Regions from separate parts of the Mus musculus genome. Here region 2 is reported to be linked to region 1. Evidence: microRNA targets listed by miRTarBase, many of them from high-throughput screens and not tested one by one. Region 1 holds a microRNA gene; the other region holds the end of a gene's coding sequence.
The links. Region 1 holds the annotated microRNA mmu-miR-190a-5p (UGAUAUGUUUGAUAUAUUAGGU, at 2,284-2,305, opposite strand). A microRNA usually pairs through its seed, bases 2 to 8, with sites in the 3' UTR of a target mRNA and lowers its output. Matches are read on the target gene's strand: a 7mer-m8 pairs with bases 2 to 8, a 7mer-A1 pairs with bases 2 to 7 and ends in A, and an 8mer does both.

Region 1 (4,152 bases):
ACCTGGCTGCTCCTGCCTAGCTTCTGGTTTTGACTTGAGAGATGCTTTGGGGAGAAAGTCTTGGCCAAAGCATACCATGGCTACATCAACTTGTGCTCTGAAGGACCAGTGGGTTGGCTGGCTCTAAGACCTCCTTCATCCTTAATAAAGCTAACAAAAGGCAAATCTCCCAGAACAGCTGGTACCCTTCACAGAGGCCTGGTCTCAGGGGAAGCTCAGGGTGACACAGAGAAACCACTGCTGAGCAAGTCATGTTAGTAGCTGGATACGCACCACCTTCACATCCAGATAGATAATAAAGGAATAGGTTCATGTAGCATCCATTGGAAAAGCCCCAAGCCTGCACAGTTAGTATCTTGGGAATAGTTTTTCCCCATATAATACAATTGCTTTATTACATTTTTTGTAACTTATATTCAATATAAAAAGTAATACCACTGAGTTGATCTTATAATTAGTCTCTGATGAAAATAAATTCTTTAGAATTCTGTCATACTCTCAAAAAGGGGAAGAAGGGGTCACTTGGACCTTGATATAGGAAGTATGGACAATAGAAGCCTTTCCATTATTCAATGAGATACAGTTTGGTTCATCTTAGGAATCTCTGGTATGAGCCTTCTATGCATCTAAGGACCTAACAAGGTCCTGGTAGAGAACCACCTGGCAATACACTCTCTGCTTGTCTGGGACCAAGGTCTGGCATGTGAGCTCCAAGCCTGTAGCTTAGCCATGCAGAAAACATGTTTGCTTTCCCATGTCACAGAACACCTGTGTGCCCGTTCCCACTCCCACTCAGAATATGAATCAGCCACATGGGAATGCCAGACAGCAGCAGAGTTACCCCCCATCCCAAATCTCACCACTTCTGGCAAGTGTCTTCATCCGAAAGACCTTTTAGAGCGATGCTTAAAAAAACTACTCGTTCACCAATGGTGGCTTCTACATATTCCCAAGTTCCTTTTCTGACGACCCCCGTCAAACTACTCTCCTGCCCCTGTAGGGTAAGAGGTCTTGCTCATCCACAGTTAGGAGTGCCATCAAGAGTTGTTTCCTCCTAAGGTAAAACCAACAAGGCCTGGGAGCATAGCCATGCTATTTCCAGGAAAAGTACTTATATAGTCTCTGTGCTAGACAGCTCAGAGTAAACTCACATACAGTTCACGGACTCATTTATGGGAAGAAGTCAAAGCAGCCAGAGAGGCTGATATATACCCGAAAGAATGCTTTCTGGGTCATAGCCCAACTTCCTGCGGCAGCCAATTAGAGTATTTGTTTACTTTCGGACTGCCGGGTTCTTCTAAATATTAACAACCTCTGTGCAGAAGTTCACCTACAACAGAAAACTCAACCGACAGAGCACAGTCCCGAGCATGTTCTCTTCATCAGACATATCTGATCCAAATTAAGGTCTGCAATTAAGGTTTACGGGCTCACCATCCGTAAAGTGAGCACAGTCACCAGGGTTTAGATTTGTTACCAGAAGCGGAAAGTTAGAGATAATAAATGTCCCGATTTTTTTTTTGGCATGGAAAACAATTACAAAATTTAATCTGTGAGAGTGTGTTGAGAGTTGTCAGGAAGAAATATCTAGATCAATGTGTTTGCCAGTTACAATCCTAACCTTTGTCCTATATCAAAGACACGGGTTGTTATCTTCCATCTTTTTCCACTGAATACTTTTCTTAAGGACTCCTAATTGCATTCAACTAAACTTTAGAAAATATCTTAAGCCTTCAGGAGCTATACTCCCTTTCCACAACAAACAGATAATGTAGTAGTATTGATACAGTTTGTTGTGGTCTGAAACAAAGCATCCCCCATCCATAATAAGTTAGTGTGTCTGAACATTTGGTCTTCAGCTGGCAGTGCCATTTGGCTATGGAAGCTTTAGGAATTCACAAAGCCTTGCTGAAGGACATACTGGCCTTTGAGGTTTTATGGCCTGGCTCCATCTGCTGTCCTATCTCTCTACTTCCTGACTGCCGGCCTTCCCTCTTTGATGGTCTGGCCCCTGATAAACTAAGCCATAATACACCCTTTTGCCTTAAGTTGCTTTTGGTTGGGGCATCCTGTCACAGCAACAGAAAGGTAACTAAGACACAGGTCTTAAAGGCTACACGAAGAAATGGAATGAAACATAACAACATACGCACTCTGTCATCTAAACCTACTTGTGATTTTTTAATATATTTTTTCCTGTTGCTTCTAAACTTTGTTAGGACCCCCGGAGACAGGGCAAGACACTGTAGGAATATGCTTGATATATAGTTGGATTAAATAACAACCTAATATATCAAACATATCACACAGAGGCCTGCAGAAAAGGCATCCAGGTTTGACTGAGCTTGAGAATATGGCTGTGGGAGTCAGTCACCTCTGCAGTATCTCCCAGCCTGCCTTGGAACACAGGCGTGTCTGTAGGTGTGGCAAGGATGCCATTAGCAACAATGCTGGTGGCACACACTCTGAGCCTGGGCTCCTTTCCCCAAATGAAAAGGGAGTCTGTGCACCTGTCTGTCACTCACGTCTGAGAGATTACAGGTAAAGGGAGGTGCTTCCATGGTCAGGGCCCAAGGGTGGAACTACACCAGAACCATCTTCACATGCCACAGACTAGTCTCCTTTTAAAACAGGTAACCTGAGAACCAGGTAATCAAAACAGCTGGAAGTCATCACCCTCCCTCCCTCCCTCCCCAAACTAGTCCTCCAAGCAGCACAGGTGCTCTGCCTGGGTGGAGGATAACCTCATTCACGTGGTATGGGGGTGGGTGGCCACAGTCACTATGGCAAGTATGCAGGAGCAGCTGCCATTTATGGCACCCTGAGGATTTTTGTCTTTAAGGTTACAGGACAGGATGGAGAAAAGTAACCTCAAATATTAGCTGGTTTTGCTGTTTCGGTAATTTTTTTTCTTTTAAGCCGAGGAAAAGTTCTTTTGTAACTGTCAGGAGGATGTTATGCATTGTGCAAGAAGTTTCCCACGGTGGACGGCCCTCCTTGCAAGCCCGGGGCTACATGCTTTGGGATGATAAGCTGCTTTGAGACACTTTCATGGATAATGCCTAGCAGTGTACACATAAGGGGTCCACACAGGCCGCCTCCGGCAACCATCCCTCATTTTCTTTTCTTAAGATTTACTTATTTATTTTAAGTGAGTACACTGGCACTCTCTTCAGACACACCAGAAGAGGGCATCGGATCCCATCACAGATGGTTGTGAGCCACCATGTGGTTGTTGGGAATTGAACTCGGGACCTCTGGGAGAGCAGTCAGTGCTCTTAACCGCTGAGCCCTCTCTCCAGCCCCCCTCATTTTCAATGTGTGTGGTTTTCAAACATTGTTTTCCAGAACTGTAAAACACAGAGCCTGCCGTTCCCTGGTCCCATTTCAAGTCTTAGCTGTTCTTTGCTGATCATCTCCGTTAGTTCCCAGCTTTGTGACATAAGCACTAACCATGGATGCCTAGGTGTTATCATTTCTCCCCATTTTACTCATTCCATAAGCATCTTCACGCTGTACAGTCTGGCAACCATTACTCTTCATTACTGTAACAGCCTCATCATTTCCCTTCAAGAAGACCCCAACTTCTTACTGCTACCAACCAAGCTTCTAGAACATCCCTCTCACACAAGTCTGGGTTTTTTTCCTTAGGAAAGGAACTGGAGACAAGTCTAACAGCCTAAGACACTATAAAGTGCAGTGGTCCTGAGGGACGGGAATCATTTTCTCTGCCAATGGGGTATCAGAGGGAGTACAGTGTTCAGAAACTGGGACCCCAGCTCTATGTTCCCTCCCCACTCAATCACACGGTCTGACAGTGGTGAGGACCAGATAAAATACTTAGGAGACTGGTCTGGACCGTGTCTTGTATTTACGGTAGCCCTGTCGCCCGCCCTCTTACCCAACTAGGGATCCATGAAAGACCTTATCTTCCACACAAAGATGAAAAATGAAGGTGTCAGAAAGCATATGTCTGGTCATAGTGATGGTGACAGAGGTGATAGCATTACCATTTACTAGTCAGGCACCATGTTCTTACGTTATCGACTTATGCTATAAGAACAATCCTGCAGGATGAAGGAGATCCCAGTAAGTCTGTTTTCCAAATCAAGAATGTTGACGCAAATGAGCAACCAGTCAGAGAAAAACAGA
Region 2 (4,000 bases), not on the chromosome of region 1:
GTACAGATTGCATACCTTGCTTCGAACTATGTGAAAGATCTGCTGCAGCAGTATGGAGGGTATGGCAGGACCATCATGATTCCAGGAGCTACTGCACATTATCACAAACTCCATACAAAGGAAGCTTAAATGAAGGGGCCTAGTAGCTTGATAGCTTAGTAACACAAGCCATTAACCTACAATCACTTTGACTTTTCCTCATATTGTAGGTATGAGCCTTCTCGTGAGATGAAAAGTCAGTGGACAGCAGTCTGGGTGAAAATCTCTTCCAGTTGGATTGGCCTTGTGCTGTACGTGTGGACACTAGTGGCACCACTTGTTCTTACAAATCGGGATTTTGACTGAATGGGATGTCTGGCATGAGTCCCACTTTGGCCATTGTCTATTTGACAGTAACAGTATTCCCAATTTTTGTAAAGTTGTATGTGCTGTTGTGTAAGTGTAACACTGTTTTTCTCTTGCATGAAATAGATTTACTCTGCCAATTTTATCCATGTTCTTGCTAAGTCTATTGATGATATGAATTGGAAAGGGAGAATTTTGAATATGGTGAGAAATTGGGAAAAATGGACATTGATAGGCATATCATCTGCTTTGTGTACATATGGTATTAAAACTGAAAACAAATATTCTTGACATTTGGGTTTCAAAATTGTGTTAGCACTTATTTTAGAAACATTAATTAAGTGTATGGCTGCCTTTGAAATACTTGATGTGTTGTTGTTGCCTTACAGAGGACTACAAGTATAAAGCAAATAGCTGTTTTAAAATTATGTAAATAAGTCACAGGCTAGTTATTTGAAAACTCTAAGTCACTTTAATTTTGTCAGAATCTTCTCTTACTAGGTAGGCCCAGGATGTTCCATAGTTAGTGGAAAACAGTACAGGAGGTGGAGGGAAGCTAAGCAATAGACAGGAGCCGTCACAGGAAGTCACTGGCAATACGGGTTTAAAGCAGGTACTTAGATCACGGTTTTCTCTGTAAGAAAATATGGCCGTCACCCCCGCCCACCAAAAAAAAATGATTTGCTCTTTGTGAACACACAATTATGAATTTCATGGCGATGTTAACAATTCTGCATTTAGACAAGGTTTTGCAAAAGATATTGTGTTAGAAAAATTTGAAACTAAAAGCTTCCCAAACAAAATGGGAAACCTTACAGGACATAAAACATTAGGCTCGGGTTAGGCACTAAGATAAAGTCTAGTCCAGTTCTCATTTTAAAAGTCAACTAGCTCTAAAGCTAGTTAGTGACAAAGTTGGATACCAAAAATAGCCAACACTATGACATAAAAACTTTGTGTTCAAAATGTACAATTCACTTTATACATTATTAATAGTAGATAAATTTGTGTAAAATGTATCGCTGCTGTCCAGCATGCTTTTCTTCTTTTTATCCAAACATGAGGCCAGGAGGATAATTAACTTGAGGAATAGACAACTTACATTCACTACATATTTAATCATGCTTAAAATGTTTGTATTTACTGCCATGCAATTGATATAGTAAATCGACTAGAAAATTAGTATGCCACTTAATTAAGATAAAAATGCTTAGTTATTTATGTTAGTATCTAGCTTTTAAAGAACTACATGTGTCTTTAAAAGTATTTATTGTGCAAATGTACTATAGCAGTTCATCTTCATGTTCCAGCCTTACTCTGTGTTAATACTGCTTCACAATTCTGAATGGCTGTGTTCTCTTAAATAAATGCATTCAAAGAAAACGTGTGGTGGTAGCATTACAAATGTAGGTGGCTTTCTTCCTTCCACAGGCCTTTTTTTCCAAAGGTTGTGGCCAGCATTTTTCTCTGGCCAACAATTTGTCTCAGGATTTCTATTGCTGTGATAAAAGTGACCATAAGTCATTGGGAAAGAAAGGTTTATTTCTTCTTACAGTTTGAAGTCCACCATCCAGGGAAGTTAGGGCAGGAACCAATGCAGGGCCTCGGAGGAGTGCTGCTTGTTGGCTTGATGCCTATGACTTGGCCTGCTTATTTTTATAGAGCATTCCAGAACCACAGGCTCAGGGAGTAGGAGGGATGAAAACTACCTCAATTGGCTGGGCTCTCCATCAAGGTGATGTAAGAAACTGGTCATCAGCTTGCCTACTAGCCAGTGTAATTGGAACATTTCCTCAGTTGAGACCTTCTATTCCCAAATGACTCTAGCCTATTTGATAAGATCTTCCTATCCATGAATCACTACATTAACTTTTGATCTCCACAATAGATCACAAGAAGACGTAAGTTTATTTTGGCTCGTAAGTCTGAAGGTTCCAGTACACAATTAAGTGTCCTTATTTCTTTGGAGTGTCAAAGTATCATACCAGTGAGGATCCATAGCAGAGCAAGATTCTGGACTCTCACAATTTACTAGGATTATATAATCTTCAATGGTCTGCCCACACCCATTCCCACCTTCTAAAGTTTCCTGGGAACATGCTGTCTGTCCACATGGGAACATTTGACATCCAGTTCTAGCAGTTGCCAAACTTTGGTATATTTTACTTGTAAATTCTTTATAGAGTTTCTAGAGTGTATAAGCAAGCAATCTCTGTGTGAGAGAGAGAGGCCAGAGAAGGACATTGGAGTTAGTACCTGGAGCTAGTGAACTGCCTGATGAGAACTGAACTCTGGTTTGTAGCCATTACAACTGCTTCTAGCAGCCAAACCTAGACAGTGGATGTCTTGGGTGAATGATTACACATGGGGTGTAAGCTAAGTAGTAAGGAAATAGCTAACTCAAATCCTGGGTTAGTGAAAAGTCATGACATGGGAAATGGCTTGTCTGTAAAATACTACTACTCGTAGCTTGCTTTTACAAACCAAACTTTAACCCGTGACCAACTTAATAATAGACTTTGAGAACATTTAGAACCATACACTCATTCTGATCACTTTAACCAAGCCAGTTTAAGATTAATCTTACTATGCTTTGGTACCCACGGATATGTACCACGTTCCCAATTCTCCCTTTGTGGCCCATTCATCCCTTGAATCAGCATATAATACATGTATATAGGATATGGTGGCTAGACCAAAGATTATTTGCTGGAAGCAACTAGAGATGAAAGCAACACTTAATTATGTGCGGGGGTTTTTTTTTTTCTTCTTCACAAATACATATTTTGTGGAATAAACATTTTCCTCAGAGATCAAAATATTGCATCCTATAGTAGGAAGCTCTTAAGTAGGAAGGAAAACTCAAAATAGCTTCAGGAAGTTCCTGAAACTGACCAGATTCACTAGGCCTGTTCCTGCTAGAGTGAGTACCCAATTAAAAGGGAGTCAAGCTTCGAAGACTATCAGATGAGATAAGCCCCAGCTGCCTGGAAGAAGTAGAAACCTGCTGATTTAATAGGTTTAAATTAACTTGGAGTCACTTGCAAAGAACACTCACTCTCCACCTTATATCTCACATTCTATACTTGCTGGGCTGTTCAATAGTAATGATCTTTATACAGGAGGAAAGATCTGAACTCTTCTCAACAAATCAGGCCCAGACTTGGATTGATGGCACCCAGGGTTACTTTATACATGTCTGTACTTTTCTGATATTTTCGTTTCAGAAAAAGTAAACAAGACCTGATGAATAGAATTTTAATACAGAATTATGAAAGACTTAAAATACTTAATATTTACTATAACAAAATTTATATTGTTTGTGATAGCAAAATCAAAACTGATGCTCAAGAGCCATTATTAAACTTTGAATCTTGTTTATCCCAGTAAAAGAAGTATTTGTGGAAAAAAAACAAACCTTTGTTAAACAACTCAGATAATTCTTTTACCAGTGAGCACTAAAAGCTTTAACAGACCAACCTAAAAAGCTCATAATCAAGATGATTAGTCTAAAGTATGCAGGAGGGATGGGTGGCTCTCCTATAAGCTGATTTTGAAAGCCAAGTCAGTTCCTATTGTGAATGTAATTTTAGAAGGTGTGTACTTCTCCAGTCAAGGAAGGAAGCAAGCCAGTGAAGAAATACAGACTGGAGGA

Region 2: the mRNA of Serinc1 is a reported target of mmu-miR-190a-5p. Seed matches in the 3' UTR shown: 7mer-A1 at 582-588.

What each region holds. Positions count from the first base shown.
Region 1 is chr9:67,234,417-67,238,568 of GRCm38, forward strand. It overlaps Mir190a (microRNA 190a), which reads right to left and starts at 2,310; the gene lies at 2,244-2,310. The region is part of intron 53 of Tln2 (talin 2); the gene reads right to left.
Region 2 is chr10:57,513,502-57,517,501 of GRCm38, reverse strand. It overlaps Serinc1 (serine incorporator 1), which reads left to right. Exons shown (of 9, transcript NM_019760.3): 9 at 210-1,728. The coding sequence ends at 345. Among named protein-coding and RNA genes, the nearest start is that of Serinc1, 17 kb to the left of the region's middle.